2 linked regions of the Cricetulus griseus genome follow. Each later gene encodes a partner of the first gene's protein in a complex. Links are inferred from orthologs where the notes say so. Each region holds a gene or a part of one and is shown in the gene's direction. Other genes may lie near its edges.

The links.
Region 2: the proteins of Mios (region 1) and Castor1 are in contact, whole or in part, in a cryo-EM structure (PDB 9LVK), measured with the Homo sapiens proteins. The link is inferred for Cricetulus griseus from reciprocal best matches to the Homo sapiens genes MIOS and CASTOR1. Residues at the interface, in NP_001357005.1 of Homo sapiens: Ala83, Asn84, Val109, Pro110, Lys111, His112, Ala113, Arg114, Asp134, Lys135, His136, Arg137, Asn184; in NP_001032755.1 of Homo sapiens: Val94, Ser116, Thr117, Tyr118, Gln119, Thr120, Asp121, Thr188, Tyr236, Leu255, Thr256, Ser257, Ser258, Ala295, Tyr296.

Annotation. Positions count from the first base shown.
Region 1 is NW_023276806.1:216,952,584-216,955,759, reverse strand, and holds the end of Mios (GATOR complex protein MIOS), read left to right. Parts: intron 1-924; coding exon 925-1,054; intron 1,055-2,195; coding exon 2,196-2,292; 3' UTR 2,293-2,622; downstream 2,623-3,176. UniProt on the Homo sapiens protein: As a component of the GATOR2 complex, functions as an activator of the amino acid-sensing branch of the mTORC1 signaling pathway. The GATOR2 complex indirectly activates mTORC1 through the inhibition of the GATOR1 subcomplex.
Region 2 is NW_023276807.1:100,670,740-100,674,767, reverse strand, and holds the start of Castor1 (cytosolic arginine sensor for mTORC1 subunit 1), read left to right. Parts: upstream 1-1,227; 5' UTR 1,228-1,478; coding exon 1,479-1,591; intron 1,592-2,131; coding exon 2,132-2,202; intron 2,203-3,262; coding exon 3,263-3,450; intron 3,451-3,531; coding exon 3,532-3,664; intron 3,665-3,885; coding exon 3,886-4,009; intron 4,010-4,028. UniProt on the Homo sapiens protein: Functions as an intracellular arginine sensor within the amino acid-sensing branch of the TORC1 signaling pathway. As a homodimer or a heterodimer with CASTOR2, binds and inhibits the GATOR subcomplex GATOR2 and thereby mTORC1.

The DNA of each region.
Region 1 (3,176 bases):
TAACCTTGGACTTGTACGTCTAGATTTTTGTTGTTGTTTTGTTTTTTGGCTTTTCTTGGTCTCACGCTGATGAATGATGCTGCAATTTATTTTCTACTACCATAAGTGTCTCGTTCTGGAATATAGCAGGATTTTCTGCTATAGTATTAAACATTTAATTTCCATATTTGTACTAGAATATGGAATAATGTGCTACTGTGAACATTTCATGTGTCTCCTTTATATATACAAACAGTGTCTCTGTTATATTTACCTAGAAGTAGAATTGGGTTGTGTTATTGCAAGATTCTGTTTGCCTGTATTTTACCTGTTATTTTTATGTCTGTTCAGGAGATAGGTTGGTTTGTAATCTTTCTTTCTCAGGCTGTTTTTTTTATTTTGGTCATTTTGTTAGCAAATTGTGTCAACCCCAAGAAGTATCACATGAGCTTTCTTTTTATCTTCTTTGGAAGAGTTTGTGTAGATGTTGGTGTTTGGTAAAACTCACCTGAAACCTCTGTCTATATTTCTTTTGGGAAAGGGTTTTTGACGAGTGTAATGTTTTTTAATTCAGGTAGTTTCTTAGTAGGTTTGAATAAGTTACACTTTGGCATTTTTTGTTAACCATTAAAAATATAGGTAAACTAGCCCGGTGTAATGACACAAGCCTTTTTTATCCCAGCATTTAGTAGGAGACAGAGGCAGGTAGATCTCTCTGAGTTCCAGGCTAACCTAGTCTACATAGTGAAAGGACAGCTAGAGCTGCATAGTGAGGCTGTCTTAAAACAACAACTAATGTGTGTATATGTGTATAAACTATTTAGTACTAGATCTTAATTGCTATTTCAATATGGTATATGATTTATATTTTAGCATAGTAACCCTTTAAGAAACTTAAACTGCTGTGGTGTGGCTAACAGTGATCAATTTTTTTTTTTCCCATAGGTGGATCGAAATCAGATGAAAAAGTGGACTTGAGCAAGGACAAAAAGTTAGCTCAGTTTAACAATTGGTTTACCTGGTGTCACAATTGTCGGCATGGTGGGCATGCCGGACATATGCTTAGTTGGTTCAGGTAAACTGCACTTTCCTTCCTTGATAATCTTACAGTTACAGGACATAGAGCAGATAGCCTTCTCAATAGTTCAGGCTCTTGGTATTATTGTATTATGTCGAATTAAGGAATTAATGTTTCTAAAACTTATTGCTTATTTGACTTAACAAAGGAAGTATCAATGGTTCCACTATTATCTTATATAATGTTAAACTATAAAAGTAATACCTATGCCAGGTTTGTGGTGGTACTTGACTTTGATCCAGCACTTGGGAGGAAGAAGCAGGTGGATCCCTATGAGATGGGTTTAGGAACAGCTTGAACATAGCAAATTCCTGGCTAGCCAGGGCTACATAGCATGACCCTGTTTTTAAGTTTTTTTATACTATAAATCCTTTGTATGGATTAAATGTTTAACATTCTTTAACCCCATTGGCGGGTAGGATATTTACAGTTTTTTATATCTTATAATCTCATGTAATTAAATTACGAATATAATTATACACACACATAAACACACACACACACACACACACACACACACACACACAAATCTACTACATTAGTTCTTTCCAAGTAATCTCCACATAAGTTGCTCTTGCAATGGAGATTCTCAAATAAACTAACTACTGATTTTGAACAGTGTTAGTGGTCCTGTGCCATTCATTAATATAACATTCTCATGAGCCTTCTCTCATTTTTGCTAACCTTAGTACAGCCCTGTCCCCTTAGTTACTGTTTTGGTATATAGTGTAGAAACTAAAACTGTTCATTTTCAGTAACAGTCTCCTCAAAGTTCACCTTGGTGATTGTTTCTAATTTGATGCTCCTTATTTTATTTATTTATTAAAAATATTTATTTACTACATAGACAGTGCTCTGCCTGAATGTATGCCTGCATGCCAGAAGATGGCACCAGATCTCTTTATAGATGGTTGTCAGCCACCATGTGGTTGCTGGGAATTGAACTCAGGACCTCGGGGAGAGCAGCCAGTGCTCTTAACCTCTGAGCCATCTCTTCAGCCCTAATTTAATACTCTTAATGCAGTTTTTTACTAAGGGTTTGAATTTATATGCTTAACCCAGTGGCATTTTGAAGATTGTTATATAAAGATTTCTGAATGTATAAAGATTCCTAACTGTTATTTCACCCTTTTTTCAGGGACCATGCAGAGTGCCCTGTATCTGCATGCACGTGTAAATGTATGCAGTTGGATACAACAGGAAATCTGGTACCAGCAGAGACTGTCCAGCCATGAAATGTTGTACCTAAAGAGAAACCTTCAAATGTGGAGTTTTTAAATAGATGTCCTTCATAGTTCAGAAACATACCTCAGAACAAGTCACTCATGACTTTCTTATAATGGGAAAATAAATCATTCTGTCTGATCAGCAATTTGACATTTGAGTGATTTTGATGTGCTTCTTAGAGGCAGATGCTGTTGAAAGAAACATCAGAGCATGAATATGAGTGCTATGCAGTAGGTTAAAGTTCATTTGAAACAACCTTCTAGGGTTTTGTCAACTATGAGTGTGTATAGAGGGTTTTAGAATAAAAACAGACCTTGTGTCAGCATTATCAATCTGAACTTGATATCTTTTGATAGAATCTGTACATATTTAAAGCCAAATGGCCAATTCAGTGGTTCAGATAAAAGTTTAAGATTCCATTCAGATAAAATATGAATTTTTACATTGAGAATTAGCACCTGACCTACACTGGAGTATAAATGTTAATATGTTTGAGAAAAGTACACGTGTGTGTGTGTGTGTGTGTATTTTAATGTGAATTTTTGACATAGATCATTGTTGCCTTCTTCAAAAAAATCCAAGTTAAGAGTGGACCAGTGAGGTGGTTCAGCAATAAGGGCCTTGCTTCCCATCCTAATGAACTGGATTCAATCCTTGGGGCTCACATGTTGGAAGCAGTGAATCTACTGATCTGTATAAGGGCGCCATGGCATGAGGCAAGCAGATGCACACACACTTAGAAAATAAGAAATGAATAAAATTTAATTTAAAAAGAATGTATCTCGAAACTTTTTTTTCTTTACAAAAGAGAAAAATTCGTGAAATTTCAGGAAAACATGCTAAAAAGTTTTTCAGTTTAATTTTTCTCTCTTCCTATGTTCTGGTTTGTCTT
Region 2 (4,028 bases), on another chromosome or scaffold:
AGTCTAGCGAAGTGAGTGGTCACCAGAGGATCTGGGAAGCTCACTCACTCTCTGCCTTCTGCCTCTCACCCCAATGTTTTCCCACTGTCTACACCTGCCATGGTGAGTGGACCCCATCCCTCACCCCTAGTTCTTCAGAGGACAAGCCAGGATGTGGTGGCCGCACAATGTTCCATGAGAATCATCTGGAGCTAGAAAAGCCAGGAACAGGGCTGAGCCCAGCTTCCGTCTGCCTGTAGTACAGGATCCAGCGCATGAAGTCCTGCATGGGCCTGCTGGGTCCCAATCACACCCGAGACTGACTTTACCAGACCTTGTTCAAAGCCTCCAAGCTGAGGCTTGAGTGCCTGGGCCAAATTAGGGCCCCGTGGAGCATGCTGTGTCCTGCCAAGAAACCAACCTGTGTTTGCTCATTCCTGCTCACCCTTGGGGTCTTCTTAAACCTTCAGATGCTTGATCATACCTGGGGTGTCTACCAGTGCTTGGGGCCTTCTTGGATCTGAAGTAAATCTAGATGTGCTCAGGCCAGTTGAGTTCTGCTAATGGTGACAAACTTTAAGGCGACTTCTGCGGGGCTCAAGTCTCTGGCCTGAATACCCAGGGAGCCTCAAATGCAAGAGGCTGTCCCTTCAATGTCTGAGCCCTGGGCCTTCCCAGCTCAGGCACTTCTGGGTTGTTTCTCTGGAATAACCTCAAGCTTCAGAGCCCACTGTATGTTGCTCAGGTGATAGGTCGCTTTTTCTGTGCCTCCCTAGAGAGAAGTATTCAACTCTGGAAGTAGGGTGATTAAAAACCTGGGGCACACAGGCCAGGTTTCTCCTGGTCAAAACGATGGCAAGGTCAATACCAATTTCTGCCAGGGCAGCCCAAGCTTAGTGATCTTTAGTCCCTATCAGTCTCATCAGCTCTGCAGTCCCTGCCCCCAGCAATAAAAGGAAAGACAAAGGCCCCGCCCAGCTGTACCGCGCGCGGGTCTCTGGCCTCCACTCTGGAGCTTTGTGGACAGCATTTCGGCTCCAGCCGAACTCCGTCACGTCTTGAAGCCCTCCCGCGTCTTAATGGCCTCAACCATAAAGCCCCACGTGCAAGTCTGGAGGTTAGATAGGACCCCGAACTTCCGGCACGTTCCCAAACCCAACACTGCCCGCAGCGGAAAGGGCGTAGCCGGGGCGTGGCCTGGAGGCCACCGAGGGGTGGGAGCAGGCAGTGATCCTCAGACTGAGGCTACAGGAATGGACAGCGGGCGAAGGCTGGGTTCGAGGGCAGCCGGCAGCGCTGGGAAAGCAGGGCTCTGGAGGAGGCGTGGTCACTTCGTAGAGGCTGTGGGGCGTGGCCGCCGGAGAGTGGGTCGCTGGCTGGGCGGGGCCGCCGCGTAGCGGGCGGCGTGGAGCCCCTCACCGCGGCTCCTTTAAGCCGGGCGCCGCCCCGCCTCCTGCCTGGGTCTAGCTGGCGGAGGGGCCGTGGCCGTGCGATCTGCGATGGAACTGCACATCCTAGAACACCGGGTGCGGGTCCTGAGTGTCGCCCGCCAGGGCCTCTGGCTCTACACCCACCCACTCATCAAACTGCTCTTCCTGCCCCATCGCAGCCGGTGCGCACCCGGGTTCAGGGGCGCAGGTCAGACGGGAGGGGGCTCCTCTGTCATTCTAGGCCAGGGGCGGAGGATTAGGGCCATCTCGAGGTAGCGGGTACCGGGTGGGGACGCTGTCGGTTCTGGCCACCATCCGGGCCGGGCCTACCCTTTCTGAGACGCCGCCTATCCGGCCCGGAGAGCTCGCCTCCCAGGGCTTGTCAAGGTGCAAACTGCCTGGGATAGGCGTGTAGTGGGGCATGCCTTCCTAGCCCTGCCTTAGCCCTTTCCCAGGCGCCTCGCGTAAAGTTTAAGAATTGTTTAGGGGAACCCAAAGCCCGACACCTCTAGGGTGTGGAATGGAGGGAAGATCTGGAGTTGGAAATCAGCCGGAGATGGGACCCAGACCACGTTGCTCCAGGGAAGGAACTGAGGCCTGAGGGCGGGTCAGGAAGGCGCCCGGCGGGGGGTCCTTTAGTACTGCTGGAACGAAGTTCGCTTGTCCTCTCCAGCCCATTCACTCCAGCCTGAAAGTCTCCCCACCCCTTCCCTCCCCACTAGGTGCAAGTTCTTCAGCCTGACGGAGACCCCGGAAGATTACACACTCATGGTGGATGAGGAGGGTTTTAAAGGTGGGAACTGGCCCCTTGCTCACCAGTAAGCCGTATTCTTACCAAGTGCAGGGATGGATCCAGCTTCCCAAGGTCTCAAAGGCATATGAGTCTGGGTTCGAATCCTCCACCCCTCACTTAAGTTTTCTCTTATGTAAGACATAGTCTTGTCAGTTTAACAGTATTTATGAGAGCTTTATAAACTTAAAGCCCAGGAAGGGCAGGGTGTGAGTCCCAGGCCAGTAAGGGGTGTGTGTGTGTGTGGGGGGGGGGTTGTCTCACAGTTTTAGTCCCCATTAAGGGGTTCCTGTAGCTGTTTTAACCCACGGACATTATTTATTCTTGGAATTCTCTCGCCAGTGAAAGCCAGATCCTCCTTTACTGGCCCGGGAAGTCTAGGAGCCTGAGGGTTGGGGAAGGAATGCAGGAGCAGGCAGCAAGCCCAGAGCAGGGTCCTGGGGCCTCCTGGCTGTGTTTGGGCGAACAACAGCCACCCTGGCCCTTGTCCCTGTTCAGCATTGGGACCTGGGAACTGACTTCTGGCTCCCATTTCTGCCTTCCTGGCCTATCCTCTGAGGCCTAGAGTCTCAAGCCAGCCACCTGGAGCTTGGCCTAACCTCCCTCCTGAAGGACTTGGTTTCCCTGTTCTGTAGGGAAATCTCTTGTCTGCAAAGGAGCAACTCCCAATCAGTAGATTGCTTGGCGCCCTCTGGTGGTTCTATGAAGCCTATTAGGCCACAGAAAAGTCCCCAGGAATATCCCATTTTGCAGATAGGAAACAGACTAAACAGGCTTGGAATCACAGTGTTTTAGGAGGCTGTGGCAAGAGGATCAGTTTGGGTTCAAGCCTAGCCTAATTTACATTTTAAGACTCTGTCTCAAAACAAACAATGAAAAGCCACTTACCTCAAGTCACACAGCAAAGGTGAAGCTGGAACTTGAACCTGATTCCGAGTTTGAGAACACCTGCAAACGAAGCAGGGCAGAAATGATAGAAGACAGCCGTGCTCTTCAGACCTCACCTGCCTTGCTGGAACTCACTAAGGCTCACACTAACCAGGCGTGTACCTCCCGCCCACAGAGCTACCCCCATCTGAGTTCCTGCAAGTGGCCGAGGCCACATGGCTGGTGATGAACGTATCATCTCACAGCGGTGCAGTGATGCAGGCTGCTGGAGTTACCAAGATTGCCCGGTCTGTCATTGCCCCACTGGCCGAGCACCACGTGTCTGTGTTGATGTTGTCCACATACCAGACAGACTTCATCCTGGTGGGTTTGGGCAGGTGTTGATACAGGGCATAAGCAGAGGAGCCTGGAGCTGTATAATGTATGTCATTTGCCTTGACCCAGGTACGGGAGCAGGACCTGTCTGTAGTGATCCACACACTGGCCCAGGAGTTCCAAATCTACCGGGAAGTAGGCGGGGAACCTGTGCCTGTTGCCAGGGATGATTCCAGCAATGGCTTTCCCCGAGCCCAGCATGGTAAGGTCTGCCCTCCAACACCCAGATTTAGGTAGGACCTTTTACAGGAGGGCTTGTCCTTGAAAGGGATAGGATGGGTATTTCAATCGGACCAGCAGATACCGTTTCTCAATGTGTGAGACATTGGGATAGGCACACCCAGGCCCTTCCCTTCCCAACCACCAGGGGTCGCCCAAGCCCAGGATTGCCTTTTCACCTTGTGGCCCATGTATCCTGAGCAGGGCCCAGCCCCACGGTGCATCCCATTCAGAGCCCGCAGAACCGATTTTGTGTTCTCACACTGGACCCCGAAACATTGCCGGCTATTGCCACCACCCTCATCGATGTCCTCTTCTACTCACACAGGTGGGCCATGCGTGCACTT